Linked DNA regions of Anolis sagrei. The protein of the gene in region 1 binds, or shares a complex with, the protein of each later gene. Links are inferred from orthologs where the notes say so. Each region holds a gene or a part of one and is shown in the gene's direction. Other genes may lie near its edges.

Region 1 (7,170 bases):
GTGGTCCATGCTCTTGTTACATCCCAAATAGATTACTGCAACGCACTCTATGTAGGGCTGCCTTTGAAGACTGTTCAAAAACATCAACTAGCCCAACAGGCTGCAGCCAGATTACAAACTGGAGCACACTGGTTGCCGATCCACTTCCGAGCTCAATTCAAAGCCCTGGTTTTGACCTATAAAGCCCTATATGGTTCTGACCCAGCTTACTTGTCTGAAAGCATCTCCCTCTATGTCCCGCCTTGCAGTTTAAGATCATCCGGGGAGGCCCTGCTCTCACTCCCGCCAGTCGCAAATACTTCTGGCGGGGACGAGAGACAGGGCCTTCTCAGCTGTAGCCGCCCCGCCTGAGCATCTCCCTCTATGTCTTGCAGTGTAAGATCATCTGGGGAGACCCTGCTCTCACTCCCACCAGCGTTGCAAATACGTCTGATGGGGACGAGAGACAGGGCCTTCTCGGCTGTGGAACTCGCGTTCCAACAAGGTAAGATCGCCTTCATCTCTCCTGTCTTTTAAGAAGAAATTGAAGTCATGGTTCTTGGACCAGACTTTTGGACAGCAAGCATAAATAGTGCTTTGGATATAGAATTTGACTGGAATGGTGATACAGTGGTTAATACTGTTATTGTTTTAATTAATGTTCTATTTATTGTTTTAATTGTTGTTATATTGCTTTGTTATATTTAATGGCATCAAATTGTGCCAAATGTAAGCCGTCCTAAGTCCAATGTATTTTCGAAGGCTTTCATGGCCGGAATCACTGGGTGGTTGTAGGCTTGGTGGGACAAGGATGGGACAAAGGAGTCTTGTCTTCTGGGGCTACGTGTGAATGTTTCAACTGAACACCTTGATTAGCACTTGATGGCCTGGCAGTGCCTGGGGCAATCTTTTGTTGAGAGGTGATTAGATGTCCCAGAACCAACCTGTACACACCATATTATTTGAAAACACAGAAATGCTGTACCACTTTCACGACCACCATGTCAGATTACACAGAGAAGCCATTGAAATCCATAACCATGTGGACAATTTCAACAGAAAGGAGGAAACCATGAAAATGAACAAAATCTGGCTACCAGTATTTAAAAAAACTCTAAAATTACAACAGCAAAACAACAGAGAGGAAACAATCTGGGACATCTAATCACCTCTCAACAAAAGATTGCCCCAGGCACTGCCAGGCCATCAAATGCTAATCAAGGTGGTCAGTTGAAACATTCACACCTAGCTCCATCAGACAAGAGTCCTTTGTCCCACCCTGGTCAATCCACATATATATAAACCCTTTTTTCCTAGTTCCAACAGACCTCACTACCTCTGAGGATGCTTGCCATAGATGCAGGCGAAACGTCAGGAGAGAATGCCTCTAGAACATGGTCATATAGCCCGAAAAAACCTACAACAACCCGTTCTGAGTCCCCTCATGGGGGTTGAGAAGGACGGGATAGAAATGCTGGAAATAAATAAACTGCATTAGGTTCTTGTGGGTTTTTTCGGGCTATATGGCCATGTTCTAGAGCCATTTTCTCCTGACATTTCACCTGCATCTATGGCAAGCATCCTCAGAGGTTGTGAGGTCTGTTGGAGTTAGAAAAATGGGTTTACATATCTGTGGAATGACTGGGGTGGGGCAAAGAGCTCTTCTCTGCTGGAGCTAGGTGTAAATGTTTCAACTGACCACCTTCATTAGCATTTGAAGGCCTGGCTGAGCCTGGGGAATCTTTTGTTGAGAGGTGATTAGATGTCCCAGATTGTTTACTACTCTGGGTGGTTCTTCATCTTTACTCTCATGGCTTGTTCTTGGAGAACAAGCCACGAGAGTCAAGATGAAGATGCACCCAGAGGAAAAGTGTTCCTGCCATACATCAAGGGAACCACTGACCGCATAGGGAAGCTGATGAGGAAACACAACCTACAAACAATCTACAGACTCACCAAGAAAATCCAACAAATGCTACGTTCAGCAAAGGACAAGAGGGATCCTCTCACTTCTGCAGGAGTCTACCGTGTACCATGCAGCTGTGGAAAAGTCTACATAGGGACCACCAAACACAGACACGAATCAAGGAACATGAAAGGCACTGCAGACTAACTCAACCAGAGAAGTCAGCCATAGCAGAGCACCTGATGAACCAGCCTGGACACAGCATATTATTTGAGAACACAGAAATGCTGGACCACACCAACAACCACCATGTCAGACTACACAGAGAAGCCATTGAAATCCAGAAGCATGTGGACAATTTCAACAGAAAGGAAGAGACCATGAAAATGAACAAAACTCTAAAATTACAACAGCAAAAGAGCAGAGAGGAAACAACCAGGCACATCTTAACACCTCTCAACAAAAGATTTTCCCAGGCTCAGCCAGGCCTTCAAATGCTAATCAAGGTGGTCAGCTGAAACATTCACACCTAACTGCAGCAGGGAAGAGCTCCTTGCCCCACCCTAGCCATTCCATAGATATATAAACCCATTTTCCTAATTCCAACAGACCTCACTACCTCTGAGGATGCTTGCCACAGATGCAGGCGAAACGTCAGGAGAAAATGCCTCCAGAACATGGCCATATAGCCCGAAAAACCCCCACAAGAACCTAGTGATTCCAGCCATGAAAGCCTTCCACAATACATTAAACTGCATTAATTATGCAATATAGGCTGTTTACATTGACATGTATGGGAAAAATGGTTCAAGGATGGATTCCCCTTTAAGCCAATGCACTTCAAGCTCTCTCTTACAGAGGACAGGCGTTTTACCCTATATGTACAAGGGTGCATCTACACTCCAAACTTAATGCAGTTCGACATCCCGTTAACAACGCCTAGTATTCCATAGTTCGAGCTCAGAATGTTTTGCCCCTGCCCACCACGTGCACGCCCGCCTCGTTCCTTCCGCAATCGAGCCCCCGCCCTCACCCCATTTCCCACCAATCAGAGAGCGCGCGTCCTCTATAACCTGCCATTGAGTGATTTAGCCAATAGAGAAAGACCTCGGGATCAATCGAATGCCATCAGAGCCGTCCAACCAGTGCTCGTGCTGTTGGTGACGTAATAGTAGGGCGGGAGCGAAGAACTATCCAATACCAGCTTCCTTTTTTCTTTTAAAGACAAGCTTCGGAGCCGGCCAATCAGTGTTCGCAGTTGTGGTGACGTAACCCTCGGGGCGGGTCCAAAGTACAATACCAGCATTCCATTTTTTTTAAAGACAAGCATTGGAACTGGCCAATCAGCGTTCGCGCTTATGGTGACGTAACGGGAGGGCGGGAGCGAAGAACAATCCAATGCCAGCATTCCTTTTTTTTCATTAAAAGAATAGCCTCGGAACCGGCCAACCAACGCTCGCGGTTGTGGTGACGTAACCCTCGGGGCGGGACCAAAGAACAATCCAATTTCAGAGTTTATTAAAAAAGACAAGCTTCGGAGACGGCCAATCAGCGTTCGCGCTTATGGTGACGTAACGGGAGGGCGGGCGCGAAGAACAATCCAATTTCAGAGTTCATTTAAAAAGACCAGCTTCGGAGCCGACCAATCAGCGTTCGTGCTTGTGGTGACGTAACAGGAGGGCGGGAGCGAAGAACAATCCAATGTCAGCGTTCCCTTTTTCTTTAAAAGACAAGCTTCGAAGCCGGCCAATGAGCGTTCGCCTTTGTGGTGACGTAACAGCAAGGCGGGACAAAATCAGCGTTCCTTTTTTTCTTTAAAAGACAAGCATCGGAGCGGGCCAACCAGCGTTCCGACTTGTGGTGACATAACAGCAGGGCGGGACCAAAGAACAATTCAATACCAGCGTTCCTTTTCTTTCTTTAAAAGACAAGCATCGGAGCGGGCCAACCAGAGTTCCCGTTTACAATGACGAAACGAAAAGGCGGGAGCGGCGAAAGGATTTAAACCAATAGGAAGCGACTTAAACCTATTGGTTTAAAAGGATTTAAACCAATAGGAAGTGTTTGTGTTTTGCAACGGCACTGGCTCCGTCCAATCACCGCTCGCGCTTCCCGTGACGTATGTGAAGGGGGCGGGGACTATGGAATGAGGCAGCGAAATATTTTATATTTTTTTCTCTAAGTGGGCGTAAACAAACCACGCCCCTCTCCGTGACGTCACCGCGGCAAACGGAGGCAGAGGAGAGCGCGCGCGCGCAGCCGGAGGTCACGTGAGCAGAAGCGGCGTCCGTTGCGTCGCCTCAGCGAGCCAGTCAGTCGAGGAGTGAGAGAGCCAGAGATCGGCACGTTCTTCCTTTCCTTCCACTTCCAGTGTGTGGTCTCTCTCTCTCAAGTCGGAGACCAGGCCGCGAGGGAGGGAGAACCCTTCCGAAGGCGCTCTTTATATCTGTATATATCTATATTTTCCCTCCCCCGCTTCTTCGCTGCTGCCGCCGTCGAGGCCGGAGCCCTTGATGTGGTTCGGGGCCCAGCGGGGAGAAGATGCCGCCGTCCAAGTCCCGTAAGATCGCCATCCTGGGCTACAGGAGCGTCGGTGAGGCCGCCCACTCGAGGCAGACAACCTTAGCACTACTATTTGGGAAAGTCGTGTTGATATACAGGAGGCCTGAGCCAATTTGGGCCTTGCAGGAGTTTTGGACTCCAACTCCCACCATTCCTAACAGCCTCAGGCCCCTTCCTTTCCCTCCTCAGCCGCTTAAGCGGCTGAGGGGGGAAAGGAAAGGGCCTGAGGCTGTTAGGAATGGTGGGAGTTGGAGTCCAAAACTCCTGCAAGGCCCAAGTTTGTCCAATATTGCATATTTTTCTCACCAATTCGTAATCTTTTTTAATTCAATTTGGGGAGACACGTGTCTTGAGTGTGACTGGTGTCCCTATACACTGGCGCCCCACCAAGGTCTAGCCATTTATGCTCTTGGAATAATAGTGATAATTATAATAATTAGTGTCTTCAAAGCCTTTCGTCATTATATACAGAGTAACTTCACACAATTTATAATCCTGGGTATTATTATTATTATTATTAAGGGGAGTCATGTCTTGCCTTGATGGAGACTCGTTGTTTATATACAAAGCCTCCTCTCTTATTATTAATATTATTATTATTATTATCATGTCTTGCCTTGATGGAGGCTCATTGTTTATATATAGAGTCCTCCATTATTATTATTAAAGGGGGGTCATGTCTTGCCTTGATGGAGACTCGTTTAGATACAGAGCCCTCCTCCCATTATTATTATAATAATAATTATTATTATTATTAAGGGGAATCATGTCTTACCTTGATGGAGACTCGTTGTTTAGATACAGAGCCTCCCATCCCTTATTATTATTATTATTATTATTATTATTATTATTTATCATGTCTTGCCTTGATGGAGACTCATTGTTTATATACAGAGCCCCTCTCCCTTATTATTATTATTAAGGGGAGTCATGTCTTACCTTGATGGGGACTCATTGTTTAGATACAGAGCCCTCCCTTATTATTATTATTATTATTATTTATCATGTCCTGCCTTAATGGAGACTCATTGTTTATATACAGAGCCCTCCTTCCATTATTATTATTATTATTGGGAGTCATGTCTTGCCTTGATGGAGACTCGTTTATATACAGAGCCTTCCCTCCCTTATTATTATTATTATTATTGGGAGTCATGTCTTGCCTTGATGGAGACTCATTATTTATATATAGAGCTTTCCCTATTATTATTATTATTACCATCATCAAGGGGAGTCATGTCTTGCCTTGATGGAGACTCATTGTTTCTATATGGAGCCCTCCCTTCTTCTTCTTCTTATTATTATTATTATTATTATTAAGGGGAGTCATGTCTTGCCTTGATGGAGACTCATTGTTTATATACTGAGCCTCCCTCCCTTATTATTATTATTATTATTATTATTATTAAGGGGAGTCATGTCTTGCCTTGATGGAGACTCATTGTTTAGATACAGAGCCCCCCCTCCATTATTATTATTATTAAGGGGAGTCATGTCTTGCCTTGATGGGGACTCATTTTTATATACAGAGCACCCTCTCCCTTATTATTATTATTATTAGTAGTAGTAGTAGTAGTAGTATTAAGGGGAGTCATGTCTTGCCTTGATGGAGACTCGTTGTTTATATACAGAGCCCTCCCTTATTATTATTATTATTATTATTATCATCATCATCATCATGTCTTGCCTTGATGGAGACTCATTTTTATATACAGAGCCCCCCCCCCTCCATTATTATTAAGGGGAGTCATGTCTTTCCTTGATGGAGACTTGTTGTTTATATACAGAGCCCTCCTTCCATTATTATTATTATTATTATTATTATTATTATTAAGGTGAGTCATGTCTTGCCTTGATGGAGACTCATTGTTTATATACAGAGCCCTCCTTCCATTATTATTATTATTAATAATAATAATAATATTATTAATATTATTAAGGGGAGTCATGTCTCGCCTTGATGGAGACTCATTGTTTATATACAGAGCCCCCTCCCTTATTATTATTATTGTTATTATTAAGGGGAGTCATGTCTTTCCTTGATGGAGACTCATTGTTTATATACAGAACCCTCTCTCCTCCTCCTCCTCCTTCTTATTATTATTAAGGGGAGTCATGTCTTGCCTTGATGGAGACTCATTGTTTATATGCAAAGCCCCCCTCCCCCCGGTATATAGCAGCCATGGGCAAACTTCATTTTGGACTTCAAATCCCACAATTCCTAGCAGCCGGAATTGTATGCAGCCTTAACAGTGCATAATCCTGAAATATTATTATTTGGGAAGACAGGTGTTTTGTTTTGAGAAGGGCCAGTGTTTATAGTCCTGGAATAAAAAATTGGGCCTTTGGGATCTTTGTGGTTTGGTTTCAGAACCCCACATGGAGACCCAAATCTATACATGCTCAAATCCCATTGTCTAAAATGGCCTTGCAAAATTGTGTCCCTTATATAAAATGGCAAAATCAAGACACAGGTGGTTGAATTAGTGGGCACGGAGAACCATCTGCTCCATTAAAGACTCCAATAGTAGAGACAGGGTGCAAAATGGCAAAACTGGGGAGGCTTGCCCCAACCCTGCATCTTCCGTTCAAACTGCATTTTTTTTTCCTGTGCAGGGATAACCACAGGAATACCTGACATAATTTAAGATGGAATGTCTGGTTCTGATGAAATAATTATAATCTCATTTATTCCTCAATGTAAATGTATTTACTTAGTTTTC
Region 2 (6,832 bases), on another chromosome or scaffold:
CCCAGGTTGAGAACCACTGCAATAGACTGTTAAGAAAGCCTTAAAGTACCTGTTTGTTTTCATTAATAAAGAACTTTGTTGAACCTTTAAGCAATCTAAAGACTCTGTTTTAAGGAAATCCAAGGGCCTTTAATCTGAGGCAGCCCGGGTGTCCCGTTGGGCACACGGAATTTATGTCCTGTCTACAGTCTTATGCACAGGCCTAGCGTGCAACAGCACAATGTTTATATGTATATATGGTTTATTTTGGGGGTTTTTAGGGTGTATATTGTATATTGGTGTATATGTATGTGTGTGTATATATGTATATTTGTGTGTGTTTGCGTGTATATATATATATGTATGTGTGTCTGTATGCATGTGTACATGTATATGAATGTATGTGTATATGTATATATGGTTTATTTTGGGGGGGGGGTTAGAGTGTATATGTATAGAAGTGTATATGTATGTGTGTGTATATGTGTATATTTGTGTCTGCTTGCATATATATATGTGTGTGTGTGTGTCTGTATGTATGTGTACATGTATATGAATGTATGTGTATATGTATATATGGTTTATTTTGGGTCTTTTTAGGGTGTATATGTATAGAGGTGTATATGTATGTGTGTGTATATATGTATATTTGTGCATGCTTGCATGTATATGTGTGTGTGTGTCTGTATGTATGTGTACATGTGTAAATGTATATGAATGTATGTGTATATGTATATATGGTTTATTTTGGGGGGGGGGGTTAAGGGTGTATATGTGTAGAGGTGTATATATATGTGTGTGTATGTGTATATTTGTGTGTGCTTCCGGGATATGTATATATGGTTTATTTTGGGTCTTTTTAGGGTGTATATGTATATAGGTGTATATGTGTATATTTGTGTCTGCTTGCATATATATGTGTGTGTGTCTGTATGTATGTGTACATGTATATGAATGTATGTGTATATGTTTATATGGTTTATTTGGGGTTTTTTTGGGGTTTTAGGGGTGATTGTCACTCTTTGGCCTGTTAGTTGTATTGTGTCCAAATTTGGTGCCAATTCGCCCAGTGTTTTTTGAGTTATGTTTATCCCACAAATGAATCTTATATAGAAATAATTATATATAAATAATAATTATATATAAATAACGAATCTTATATAGAAATAATTATATAAATAATTATAATATAATAATAAACGAATCTTATATAGAAATAATTATATATAAATAATTATAATATAATAATAAACAAATCTTATATAGAAATAATTATATATAAATAATAATTACATATAAATAACGAATCTTATATAGAAATATTATATAAATAATTATCATATAATAATAAACGAATCTTATATAGAAATAATTATATATAAATAATTATAATATATATAGGTGTGTATATGTGTGTGCATATATGTATATTTGTGTCTGCTTGTGTATATATATGTGTGTGTGTGTCTATATGTATGTGTACATGTATATGAATGTATGTGTATATGTATATATGGTTTATTTTGGGGGGGGTTAGGGTGTATATGTATAGAGGTGTATATGTATGTGTGTGTATATGTGTATATTTGTGTGTGCTTGCGTATATATATATATATATATGTGTGTCTGTATGCATGTGGACATGTGTACATGTATATGAATGTATGTGTATATGTATATATGGTTTATTTTGGGGGTTTTTTAGGGTGTATATGAATATTGGTGTATATGTATGTGTGTGTATATGTGTATATTTGTGTGTGCTTGCGTATATATATATATATGTATGTGTGTCTGTATGCATGTGGACATGTGTACATGTATATGAATGTATGTGTATATGTATATATGGTTTATTTTTGGGGGGGGTTAGGATGTATATGTATAGAGGTGTATATGTATGTCTGTGTATATATGTATATTTGTCCATGCTGGCATGTATATATGTGTGTGTGTCTGTATGTATGTGTGCATGTGTACATGTATATGAATGTATGTGTGTATGTATATATGGTTTAAATTGGGGGGGGTTGTGTGTTTTTAGGGGTGATTGTCACTCTTTGGACTGTTAGGTGTATTGTATCCAAATTTGGTGTCAATTCGCCCAGTGTTTTTTGAGTTATGTTTATCCCACAAACGAATCTTATATAGAAATAAGATTTCATTCATATCTCTTTCTCTAAAAGGTAACAACTTGTGAAAACGTACGTGTGAAAAAGATCTTGGAGTCCTTGTGGACAACAAGTTAAACATGAGCCAACAATGTGATGTGGCGGCAAAAAATGCCAATGGGATTTTGGCCTACATCAATAGGAGTCTAGTGTCTAGATCTAGGGAAGTCATGCTCCCCATGCTCTATTCTGCTCTGGTTAGACCACACCTGGAATATTGTGTCCAATTCTGGGCACCACAATTCAGGAAATCAGAAGACGCTTCCTTCTTGGGAGGAGAGCAATGTCCAATCTCGATAAAATAGTAAAGAGTAGAGACATCAGACTGGCAACAAAGATCCGCCTAGTCAAAGCCATGGTATTCCCTGTAGTGACCTACGGATGTGAGAGCTGGACCTTAGGGAAGGCTGAGCGAAGGAAGATCGATGCTTTTGAGCTGTGGTGTTGGAGGAAAGTTCTGAGAGTGCCTTGGACTGCGAGAAGATCCAACCAGTCCATCCTCCAGGAAATAAAGCCCGACTGCTCACTGGAGGGAAAGATACTAGAGACAAAGTTGAAGTACTTTGGTCACATCATGAGGAGACAGGAAAGCCTAGAGAAGACAATTATGCTGGGGAAAGTGGAAGGCAAAAGGAAGAGGGGCCGACCAAGGGCAAGATGGATGGATGGCATCCTTGAAGCGACTGGACTGACCTTGAGGGAGCTGGGGGTGGTAACGGCCGACAGGGAGCTCTGGCGTGGGCTGGTCCATGAGGTCACGAAGAGTCGGAGACGACTGAACGAATGAACAACAACAACAAATTGACAAGCTGGAATGTGTCCAGAGGAGGGCGACTAAAATGATCAAGGGTCTGGAGAACAAGCCCTATGAGGAGCGGCTTAACGAGCTGGGCATGTTTAGCCTGAAGAAGAGAAGGCTGAGAGGGGATATGATAGCAATGTATAAATATGTGAGAGGAAGCCACAGGGAAGAGGGAGCAAGCTTGTCTTCTGCTTCCCTGGAGACTAGGACGCAATGGAACAATGGCTTCAAACTACAAGAGAGGAGATTCCATCTGAACACGAGGAAGAACTTCCTGACTGTGAGAGCCGTTCAGCAGTGGAACTCTCTGCCCCGGAGTGTGGTGGAGGCCCCTTCTTTGGAAGCTTTTAAGCAGAGGCTGGATGGCCATCTGTCAGGGGTGATTTGAATGCAACATTCCTGCATCTTGACAGGGGGTTGGACTGGATGGCCCATGAGGTCTCTTCCAACTCTTTGATTCTATGATTCTATGATATATAAACCCTTTTTCCTAGTTCCAACAGACCTCCCTACCTCTGAGGATGCTTGCCATAGATGCAGGCGAAACGTCAGGAGAGAATGCCTCTAGAACATGGTCATATAGCCCCAAAAAACCTACAACAACCCATTCACCCAATCCTCCGTGCCCTGCTCTGTCCACCAGGGGGCGCTCTTCTCTACGCCTTCCTAGCATTGCCCATTTCGAGCCATAGCGTTCGCTTCTCGGTGGAGATTGTCCCGCGGCGAGACCCGTCAGCCCCTCACTCTCTCCTGCGGTTGCTGGGGCGTCTCTTCCTTAGCGACTGAGCCGGGGAAGGGAGCCTCCCTCGGATTGGCCGCCGGCGCTGCCTGTGTGGGGAAGCCCCGGCTGGGATTGGTCGAGCGGGGCGTAGTAGGCGGGGCGTGTTGTGTGGAGGGCTGGTTCCGCCGGCGTCGGGGCGTCCGAGGCGCCTCTCTCTCCGGCCCAGAGGAGCCATGTCCGGCCAGGAGGAGGAGGAGGAGCGCGCCAAGGAGATCCTCAGGGGCTTCAAGCTGTATCCCAGGGAAGGAAGGAAAGAAAGGAAAGAAAGCAAGCGGGGGAACGAGGAGGCCAGGGATGGAGGCCCAGCTCCTGCGGGTTTGCTCGGGGAATTACGGTACAGAAGCCTTGCTTGGGAGGGGAGAGGGAGGGGGATATGGGGGAATATGGGAGGCTACTTCAATAATAATAATAATAATAATAATAATAATGTTCTAGAGGCATTCTCTCCTGACGTTTCGCCTGCATCTATGGCAAGCATCCTCAGAGGTAGTGAGGTCTGTTGGAACTAGGAAAATGGGTTTATATATCTGTGGAATGACCAGGGTGGGACAAAGAACTCTTCTCTGCTGGAGCTAGGTGTGAATGTTTCAACTGACCACCTTCATTAGCATTAGAAGGCCTGGCTGAGCCTGGGGGAATCTTTTGTTGAGAGGCGATTAGATGTGCCTGATCGTTTACTCTCTGCTGTTTTGCTGTTGTAATTTTTGAGTTTTTTTTAATACTGGTAGCCAGATTTTGTTCATTTTCATGGTTTCCTCCTTTCTGTTGAAATTGTCCACATGCTTGTGTATTTCAATGGCTTCTCTGTGGAGTCTGACATGGTCCCAGCATTTCTGTGTTCTCAAATAATATGCTGTGTCCAGATCAGTTCCTCAGGTGCTCTGCTATGGCTGACTTCTCTGGTTGAAGGAGTCTGCAGTGCTTTTCATGTTCCTTGATTCGTGTTTGGGCAACGATGCTGCGTTTGGTGTTCCCTCTGTAGACTTGTCCACAGCTGCATGGTACACGGTGGACTCCTGCAGCGGTGAGAGGATCCCTCTTGTCCATTGCTGAACGAAGCATTTGTTGTATCTTCTTGGTGGGTCCGTAGGTTGTTTGTATGTTGTGTTTCCTCATCAGCTTCCCTCTGTGGTCAGTGGTTCCCTTGATGTATGGCAGGAACACTTTTCCTCTGGGTGGATCTTCATCTTGACTCTTGTGGCTTGTTCTGGGTCTTGCAGCTCTTCTGATGTCTGAGGTGGAGTCTCCATTGGCCTGGAGAGCCCAGTTGAGGTGGTTCCCCCAGGCTCAGCCAGGCCTTCTAATGCTAATGAAGGTGGTCAGTTGAAACATTCACACCTAGCTCCAGCAGAGAAGAGCTCTTTGTCCCACCCCAGTCATTCCACAGACATATAAACCCATTTTCCTATTTCCAACAGACCTCACTACCTCTGAGGATGCTTGCCATAGATGCAGGCGAAACGTCAGGAGAAAATGCCTCTAGAACATGGCCATATAGCCTGAAAAAACCCACAAGAACCTAGCAGAGTAAATAATAATAAACTATTGTATTCCTTTGTATACCTGACCTTTTTTCACGTGAGATCTAAAGCAGCTATAAATAAATATAATAATAATAAATGGCAGAGGAAATAACAATTTAAATGTATCAAATCCTGATCTCTTTCACATGAGATCAAAGGCGGATATAAATATAATAATAATAAAGGGCAGATATAATAATAATAATAATAATAATAATAATAATAAATAGCAGAGGAAATAATAATAAACTATCGTATTCCTTTGTATACCTGACCTTTTTTCACATGAGATCAAAGGCGGATATAAATAAATATAATAATAATAAATGGCAGAGGAAATAATAACAATTTAAACAAACTACCGTATTTCTTTGTATCAAAACCTGCCCTTTTTTCACGTGAGATCAAAGGTGGATATAATAATAATAATAATAATAATAATAATAATAATAAATGGCAGATACAAATATAATTATATGAACCACTAAGACAATTAAGATCTTCTGGTGGGGCCCTGCTCTCAATCCCACCACTTTCGCAATCGCATCTGGTGGGAATGAGAGACAGGGCCTTTTCTGTGGTGGCCCCTCGGCTATGGAATTCTCTCCCAATTGAGATCAGATATGCCCCCTCCCTCCTGTCCTTCAGGAGGCTGGTGAAATCTTGGCTATGGAAGGAAGCATTCCCAAAGTAATGGATGAAACCGGCTACAGAACAAAGTTATCGACCACACAAACGGACTGAGTTGGACATGATTTTATCTTGGCGATTTGGCTTATTTGTAATTTTAATCGATATGTATTTTAACTTGTTATTATATGATGTTTTTAGATAATACTATTAGCATTGAATCCTTGCTGTAAGCCGGTTTGAGTCAAGGAGGTGAGAAGATCGGGATATAAAAGTTTTAAATAAATAATAATAAATAATAAGAATAATAAATAGCAGAGGAAATAATAATAAACTACCGTATTCCTTTGTATCTAAGGTTCCCCATTTTTTTAACTTGAGATCAAAACTCAAGTGAAACTCACTTTTTTGCACTGGAGATCAATGGCAGACATAAATATAATGATTTTTTTTCATGTCAGGAGCGACTTGAGAAATTGCAAGTCGCTTCTGGTGTGAGAGAATTGACTGTCTGCAAGGACGGTGCCCAGGGGACGCCCAGGTGTTTTGATGTTTTAATGTTTTACCATCCTTGGGAGGTTTCTCTCATGTCCCCCATGGGGAGCTGGAACTGACAGAGGGAGCTCATCCGCGCTGTCCCCGGAGTTGAACTTCCAACCTTCCGGTCTTCAGTCCTGCCGGCTATATAATGATAATTATAATATATTATTATCACAGTATAATAATAATAATAAATGGCAGATATAAATATAATGACAATAATACATGGCAGATATAAATATAACGATAATAATAATACATGGCAGATATAAATATAATAACAGTAATAAATGGCAGATATAAATATATGATGATGATAATAAGTGACAGATATAAATATAATTACGATGATAATAATAAAAATGGCAGATATAAATATAATAACAATAAATGGCAGATATAAATA
Region 3 (7,681 bases), on another chromosome or scaffold:
AGGTAAACAGTTTCAATATATTGGAAGTATATTGGCCAATTACCAGCTTTACCATATGCATGCCAATTACGCAAAAATAACGTAATATCCTTAAATATCCACAGGACAGAGAACTTCAAATGAGGTGAAGCCATTAATAATTGGAAACGCAATAATAATAATAATAATAATAATAATGCTTTACCTGTACATTATAACTCCCAAATAATAATAGTAAAACTTTATTTGTCCAATATCACGTCCTAATAATAATCATAATAATACATTATCTGTACAATATAACTCCCAAATAATAATAGTAAAACTTTATTTGTGCAATATCACGTCCTAATAATAATAATAATAATAATACATTATCTGTACATTATAACTCCCAAATAATAATAGTAAAACTTTATTTGTGCAATATCACTTCCTAATAATAATAAAATATTATCTGTACAATATAACTCCCAAATAATAATAATAATGGGCAAATATATAATATATAACATTACAAATATATAATGTTTCTCATCTGCCAATAATAAAAGATATATATAAAAATAAAAACATAATAAAATTAAAATGTAAAATAAAAGCATAATAAAATAAAAATAATACTTTATCTTTACAATGTAGCTTCCAAATAATAAATCTGTGTAATATAACTCCATAACAATAATAGTAATACTTTATCTGTACATAACTCCCAAATAATAATAGTAATACTTTATCTGTTCAATGTAACTTCCAAATAATAATAATAATAATAATAATAAGGGCCAAATATATGATATATAACATTACAAATGTATAATGTTTCTCATCTGCCAATAATAAAAGATATATATAAAAAAACATAAAAATATAATAAAATTAAAATTAAAATGTAAATTAAAACGGTGCTTCGGTCCCGGAGGTGACTTCGGCAGCCGTGATACTGCATCACATAATAAAATAAAAACAATAATACTTTATCTTTACAATGTAGCTTCCAAATAATAATAATAATAATAATAATAAATCTGTGTAATACAACTCCATAATAATAATAACAGTAATACTTTATCTGTTCAATATAACTTCCAAATAATAATAATAATAATAATATATTATCTGTTCAATATAACTCCCGAATAATAATAATAATAATAATAATAATAATAATAGGGGGTTAGGGGCAAATATGTAATACATAACATTACAAATATATAATCTTTCTCATCTGCCAATAATACAAGAAAGATATACACACACGTATTTGTGTGTTTGTGTATATATAAACATAAAATATATAATAAAAGAAAAAAGAAAAATATAAAATAAAAGCATAATAAAATAATATAATATGATAAAATATAATAATAATATAAAAACTAACTCTCCAAACTCCCTTCCACATTTACTGGTGCTAGGGACACAGGACCCCCCCCCCCCAAATGTAACTTTCCAAATATATCATGTTTCTCATCTGCCACAAAGTCAAATTCTAGTGAGAGTCAGGAGGACAGATGGCCACAACTGCTCCCGGAAGCCCTGTCCTTCCGCCATAGCCAGGCCCCTTTCTGACCCTCGTTCGGTCACCTTCTGGCAGCGGCTTCATGGCGTTGGGTTTGACGAAGAGTTTGGGGACGAAGGGGGTGTTGGAGTTGTCCACTTTCTCCCGGAACCTGAGCTGCGGGCGCAGGATGTTCCTGGCGTGGAGAAGGCGGAAGGTTTCGGGCCGGGACCGCTTGCTAGCCTCGCTGCTCTGCTGGGAGGAGACATGGGCGTTAGCACAACATCACTCCCACATAATATGTAAACAGAAGGAAGAGGAGGTTCACCTTGCGGTTCCAGCTGGAAACGATGGTCTTGGGAGGCTGCAAACCCAAAGGCAGGACCGGCTGCTGGTTCTTGTTCACGCCGGCCGCTTCATCCAAGAGCGTGCCCTGCAATTATGAAGCCATACAGTCGGAAGGGACCCCCAAAGGCCATCCAGTCCAGCCCCCTCCTGCCACCCAAGCCCTCCAACTTATACAGGGCGATCGCACTCACCACGCGCTCCAAAATGGCGTCGTTGGCATCCACCAGCAGGTCGAACTTGTCCTCCAGCTCCGTCACGGTGCTCCGGTCCCGGAGGTGACTTCGGCAGCCGTGATACTGCATCACTTTGCTCATGCTGGGAAATGGTACAGAATACAGCTTCGTAAGAGTCATGTCTACATATTGGGAAGAAGGTCCTAAGGAGGAGGAAGCAGGTTTGCTTTCTCCAGGATTCCAATTTTCTATAGCCTTATGAAGCTTCCAATGTCTGAGAGGCTGGATAGCCATCTGTCAGGAGGGCTTGGAAGGTGCCCCCTGCCTGGCAGAAGAATAGGGTTGGACTGGATGGCCTTTGGAGGTCCCTTCCAACATTCGATGCAAGACTCACCATTGGAGAAGCCGGTCTCCTTGCGTCTCACAATAGGCCTGGAAGCCAGGAAAGCTGCGGTAGAAGTCGTACTCGTCTCCCGGCTGTGGGAGGCCATTGGAGGCCTTGGTGACAGAGACCACAGAGCCCAGGGCATGCTGGGAAGCAAGGGCAGGACAACCGTCAGGAAAGGAAGCCTTGGGAACTCAAGGTAGATAGTTCAGCCTACAATTATCTATCTATCCAGTTCCACCTCTATCTATCAATTTCTACCTCTATCTATTTATCTATCTATCTATCAACTTCTACCTCTATCTATCTATCAATTTCAGCCTCTATCTATCTATCTATCCAGTTCTACCTCTATCTATCTATCAATTTCTACATCTATCTATCTATCCATTTCAGCCTCTATCTATCTATCCATTTCTACCTCTATCTATCCAGTTCTACCTCTATCTATCTATCTATCTATCTATCAATTTCTACATCTATCTATCCAGTTCTACCTCTATCTATCAATCAATTTCTACCTCTATCTATCTATCTATCTATCCATTTCTACATCTATCTATCCAGTTCTACCTCTATCTATCTATCAATGTCTACCTCTATCTGTGTGTATATATGGAAAATAAATTATAAATTATATATATATATATATATATATATATATGACAAAAATATGAATAAAATGGGAAAATTACATTATATATAAGTATATAGCATATGTATGGTGGAAATTAGGGTATAATATATAGACATTGGAAAAATAAATTATATATATATATATATATATATATATATATATATGAGGGAAAAACGTATAAAATGAGAATAATTATATAAACCATATGTATGTATATATATGGAAAATAAATGATAAATTATTAAATATATATATATGAGGAAAATATGTATAAAATGGGAAAATACATTATATATACATACATATATGCATGGTGGAAATTAGAGTATAATATATAGAAATGGGAAAAATAATATATATATTATTTACTTTATTTATATACCGTTTTTCTCAGCCCTCAGATGGCTATATGTATATATATGAGGGGGAAATTGTATAAAATGGGAATAATTATATAAACAATGTGTGTGTGTGTGTGTGTGTGTGTGTATGCAAAATTATTAAATTATTAAATATATTTATGAGGAAAATATGATTACAATGGGAAAATTACATTATATATAGGTATATATGTATGGTGGAAATTAGAGTATGATATATATAAATGGGAACAATAAACTATATATATACATATGGAAAAATTTGTATAAAATGGGAATAATTATATAAACTGTGTGTGTGTGTATGGAAAATAAATTATAAATTATTAAAAATATAAAAATAAAAAGGAAATGTTCATTTTTCAGACCTACACCTCCCAGAATCCTCCTCTCCAAATGGGGGAAAAATAAATGAATGTAAAATATAATTATTTATATCACACACTCAATATAAAACTAACTGATGGATACGTATTATATTAAGATCATAATATAATTCTCTATGGGGAAAATAAGTTAAGACAAATTAAAATAAATATATTAGAATGCATATAAAATTAATAAGCAGAGATTACACTAACACAATATAATTACTGTATATTTAATATATTTAATTTGAAATAAATCAATATAAAATAACAAAAATAACAAAATTTTATTTCAATTCAATATTAAAATAAAAAGATTCCCTTTGAGGGGTAAAACCCAAGCCCAGCAGACATAAAAAGGAAATAATAGGTAGGAAAAGGTCCTTTTGGAGGACTACACTTCCCAGAATCCTTTAAGTGAGGCCTAAGATTCATGAATTGGGCATTCTTCCCTGAAAACTACAATTCCCGGCATGCTTAGCGCGCGCATGCGCTCTCCCGCTGGGGCCTTCTCCTCCCTCAAAACTACCTTCACGAAGGCATCTGCGTCCCCAAATCCGGGCAGGACGAAGCCTTCGCGGTCGGTTTCCATTGCCGTCGCCTCGTCGGGGCCGCTCAATCCTTCCTTCGCCGCCATTTGCCGCTTTTTCTCAGCGAGCGCCGCTTCCTTCTCTCACACAGCCGCCATCTTGGAAAAGAAAGCATACTCCCGCTGAATCTCGCGAAATTTCCCAGAGACGCATTTGATTGGTGTTTCCCTAATGCCGATCTTCTTTATTCTTTCCTTTGATTGGTCTATTCCCAGAAGCCCCTCCCTCGCGCTGAGCGGAGGCGGAGAAGGAAAGGTTGTCTTCGTGGTGGGCAGGAACCAACGCCCGTCACTCACCCTAGCCGCGCCTTCCTATTGGTCTGTTTAGTATTTCGAAGAAGCTGATTGGCTAGTCAAAAGAACGGGGTGGCAAAAGGCGAAGATGAGACTGAGGAGAGAGGTGAGTCGAAAAAAGGTAATTTTTGGGAAGTAAAGAGGACATTTTGGGGGGCAATTCCCCTTCAGAAGGTTTCCCTCAACGAAGGGGAATGTCCACCACGGAATTTACCTCACAATTTACCTCAGAACAGCAAGAATATCCTTTGTGAGGTGAGTGATCATGAGAGCAGGGATAATAATAATGTTAATTACTATTAGATAACAATAATATAATAGTAATTAACAACAATAGCAGGTCTAACATGGCCACGAATATTAATAATGATAATAAAAATAGTTATAATAGTATTAATAACACTAATAAAATGGCTGATAGGGAAGAGGATAATAACAACAACAACAATAATAAAGATAATAATGTAATGAGGGCAATAGCAATAGGGTAATAATAATAATGTAATGGCAATAGCAGTAGGATAATGATAATAATAATAATGTAATAAGGACAATAGCAGTACAATAATAATGTAATAATAATAGCAGTACAATAATAATAATAGTAAGGTAATAACAATAGCAGTAGGATAATGATGATGATAATAATAATAATAAGAAGAAGAACTAGTAGGATAATAATGTAATTACAATAGCAGTAAGTAATAATAATAATATAATAATAGCAGTAGGGTTATAATAATAATAAGGTAATAATAGCAGTAGGATAATGATGATAATAATGATGTAATTACAATAGCAGCAGGGTAATAATAATGTAATAAGAACAATAGTAGGATGATAATAATAATGTAATAAGAATAGCAGTAGGATAATAATAATAATGATAGCAGTAGAGGAATAATAAGAATAATGTAATAAGAATAGCAGTACAATAGTAATAATAGTAAGGTAATAACAATAGCAGTAGGATAATGATGATGATGATAATAATAATAAGAAGAAGAAATAGTAGGATAATAATGTAATTACAATAGCAGTAGGTAATAAGAATAATGTAATAAGAATAGCAGTACAATAATAATAATAGTAAGGTAATAACAATAGCAGTAGGATAATGATGATGATTATAATAATAATAATAAGAAGAAATAGTAGGATAATAATGTAATTACAATAGCAGTAGGTAATAAGAATAATGTAATAAGAATAGCAGTACAATAGTAATAATAGTAAGGTAATAACAATAGCAGTAGGATAATGATGATGATGATGATGATGATAAGAAGAAGAAGAAATAGTAGGATAATAATGTAACTACAATAGCAGTAGGTAATAAGAATAATGTAATAAGAATAGCAGTACAATAGTAATAATAGTAAGGTAATAACAATAGCAGTAGGATAATGATGGTGATGATGATGATGATAAGAAGAAGAAGAAGAAGAAATAGTAGGATAATAATGTAATTACAATAGCAGTAGGTAATAAGAATAATGTAATAATAATAGCAGTAAGGTTATAATAATAATAAGGTAGTAATAGCAGTAGGATAATGATGATGATAATAATAATGTAATTACAATAGCAGCAGGGTAGTAATAATAATAATAATCATATAAGAACAATAGTAGGATGATAATAATAATGTAATAATAGCAGTAGGATAATATTAATAATAGCTGTAGAGGAATAATAATAATAATGTAATAAGAACAATAGTAGGATGATGATAATAATAATGTAATTACAATAGCAGTAGGATAATAATAAGAATAATAATAATAATAATAGCAGCAGTAGAGGAATAATAATAATAATAATAATGTAATAAGAACAATAGTAGGATGATAATAATGTAATAATAATAGCAGTAGGGTAATAATAATGTAATAATAATAGCAGTAGAGGAATAATAATAACAATAATAATAATAATAATGTAATAACAATAGCAGTAGGCTGATGATGATGATGATGATGATAATAATAATGTAAGCAGAAAAATAGCAGTAGAGTAATAATAATGTAATAAGAACAATAGCAGGATAGTAATAATAATAGCAGTAGGGTAATAATAATGGAATAATAGCAGTAGCGTAATAAAGATGATAACAATGTAATAAGAACAATAGCAGGATGATAATAATAATAATAATGGAATAACAATAACAGTAGAGTAATAATAATAATGTAATAATAGTAGGATAATAATATTAATATAATAACAATAGCAGTAGTATAATAATGTAATAATAGCAAGAGGGGAATAATAATGTAATAAGAAAAAATAGGATAATAATAATAATTAAATAACAATAGCAGTAGGATAATAATAATGTAATAATAACAGTAGGATAATGATGATAATAGTAATAATGTAATAAGAAAAATAGCAGTAGGATAATAATTAATTGCAATAGTAGTAGGGTAATAATAATAATAGTAATAATGTAATAAGAACAATAGCAGTAGGATAATAATAATAATAATAATAATAATAATAATAGCAGCAGTAATGACACTGCTGCCAAGGATGATGATGATGATGATAATAATAATAATAATAAAGATAATACTAATAATGTAATAAGAACAATAGCAGGAGACTAATAATAATATTAATAACACTGCTGCCTACTCGGATCTGCACGCATTATTCGCCGATACATCACATAGTCCTAGACATTTGGAAAGTGTCCAATGTGTGATCGAATACAAAAGCCAGCAGAATTATCTTGTTTGTTGTGTACCAGTCCTGTTGTGCATCAAATAATCATAATAATAATATTGATAATAATAGCAAGCCTGCTGCCGAGGATGGCGGCACTTGCTGTGTTACGTTGCGGCCTTTTTCTTCCTTTGGCTTTTTCAGAATGGTTTCCTTCTGTTTCCAGGACCCTAAAGAACCCCATAGATTCTGATCCACCACCGCCACCATGTCGGGGACCGTCATTATCCTCCAGCAGTTTGCCACCGGCCTCAAGAGCAGGAATGAAGAAACCCGGGCAAAAGCGGCCAAAGACCT

What was found. The genes of interacting proteins can lie anywhere in the genome.
Region 2: the proteins of RHEB (region 1) and PDE6D are in contact, whole or in part, in a crystal structure (PDB 3T5G), measured with the Homo sapiens proteins. The link is inferred for Anolis sagrei from reciprocal best matches to the Homo sapiens genes RHEB and PDE6D. Residues at the interface, in NP_005605.1 of Homo sapiens: Pro2, Gln3, Ser4, Gln57, Asp77, Gln176, Gly177, Lys178, Ser179, Ser180, Cys181; in NP_002592.1 of Homo sapiens: Ile53, Leu54, Cys56, Val59, Val80, Gln85, Cys86, Leu87, Glu88, Glu89, Trp90, Ile109, Glu110, Ala111, Ala112, Pro113, Gln116, Met117, Met118, Leu123, Tyr149.
Region 3: the proteins of RHEB (region 1) and MTOR are in contact, whole or in part, in a cryo-EM structure (PDB 6BCU), measured with the Homo sapiens proteins. The link is inferred for Anolis sagrei from reciprocal best matches to the Homo sapiens genes RHEB and MTOR. Residues at the interface, in NP_005605.1 of Homo sapiens: Lys5, Ser6, Arg7, Lys8, Arg15, Pro37, Ile39, Glu40, Thr42, Gln57, Ala62, Asp65, Tyr67, Ile69, Gln72, Thr73, Ser75, Ile76, Asp77, Asn79, Asp105, Met106, Val107, Gly108, Lys109, Val110, Ile112; in NP_001373429.1 of Homo sapiens: Arg62, His69, Glu73, Ala101, Thr102, Ile104, Gly105, Arg106, Asn109, Tyr110, Arg112, Asn113, Phe140, Glu143, Tyr144, Phe147, Glu154, Arg160, Thr969, Gln973, Phe977, Lys980, Glu1010, Phe1011, Gln1014, Met1018, Ser1050, Thr1051, Asn1264, Lys1293.

The regions. Positions count from the first base shown.
Region 1 is NC_090026.1:122,292,554-122,299,723, forward strand, and holds the start of RHEB (GTP-binding protein Rheb), read left to right. Parts: upstream 1-4,152; 5' UTR 4,153-4,426; coding exon 4,427-4,478; intron 4,479-7,170. UniProt on the Homo sapiens protein: Small GTPase that acts as an allosteric activator of the canonical mTORC1 complex, an evolutionarily conserved central nutrient sensor that stimulates anabolic reactions and macromolecule biosynthesis to promote cellular biomass generation and growth.
Region 2 is NC_090023.1:266,472,494-266,479,325, forward strand, and holds the start of PDE6D (retinal rod rhodopsin-sensitive cGMP 3',5'-cyclic phosphodiesterase subunit delta), read left to right. Parts: upstream 1-3,831; 5' UTR 3,832-3,906; coding exon 3,907-3,965; intron 3,966-6,832. UniProt on the Homo sapiens protein: Promotes the release of prenylated target proteins from cellular membranes. Modulates the activity of prenylated or palmitoylated Ras family members by regulating their subcellular location.
Region 3 is NC_090033.1:7,029,662-7,037,342, forward strand, and holds the start of MTOR (serine/threonine-protein kinase mTOR), read left to right. Parts: upstream 1-4,680; 5' UTR 4,681-4,760; exon of another isoform or gene 4,761-4,775; intron 4,776-4,786; exon of another isoform or gene 4,787-4,909; intron 4,910-7,550; 5' UTR 7,551-7,592; coding exon 7,593-7,681. Other genes in the region: EXOSC10 (exosome complex component 10), read right to left, coding at 1,567-1,735, 1,809-1,913, 2,020-2,143, 2,396-2,532, 4,301-4,408. UniProt on the Homo sapiens protein: Serine/threonine protein kinase which is a central regulator of cellular metabolism, growth and survival in response to hormones, growth factors, nutrients, energy and stress signals.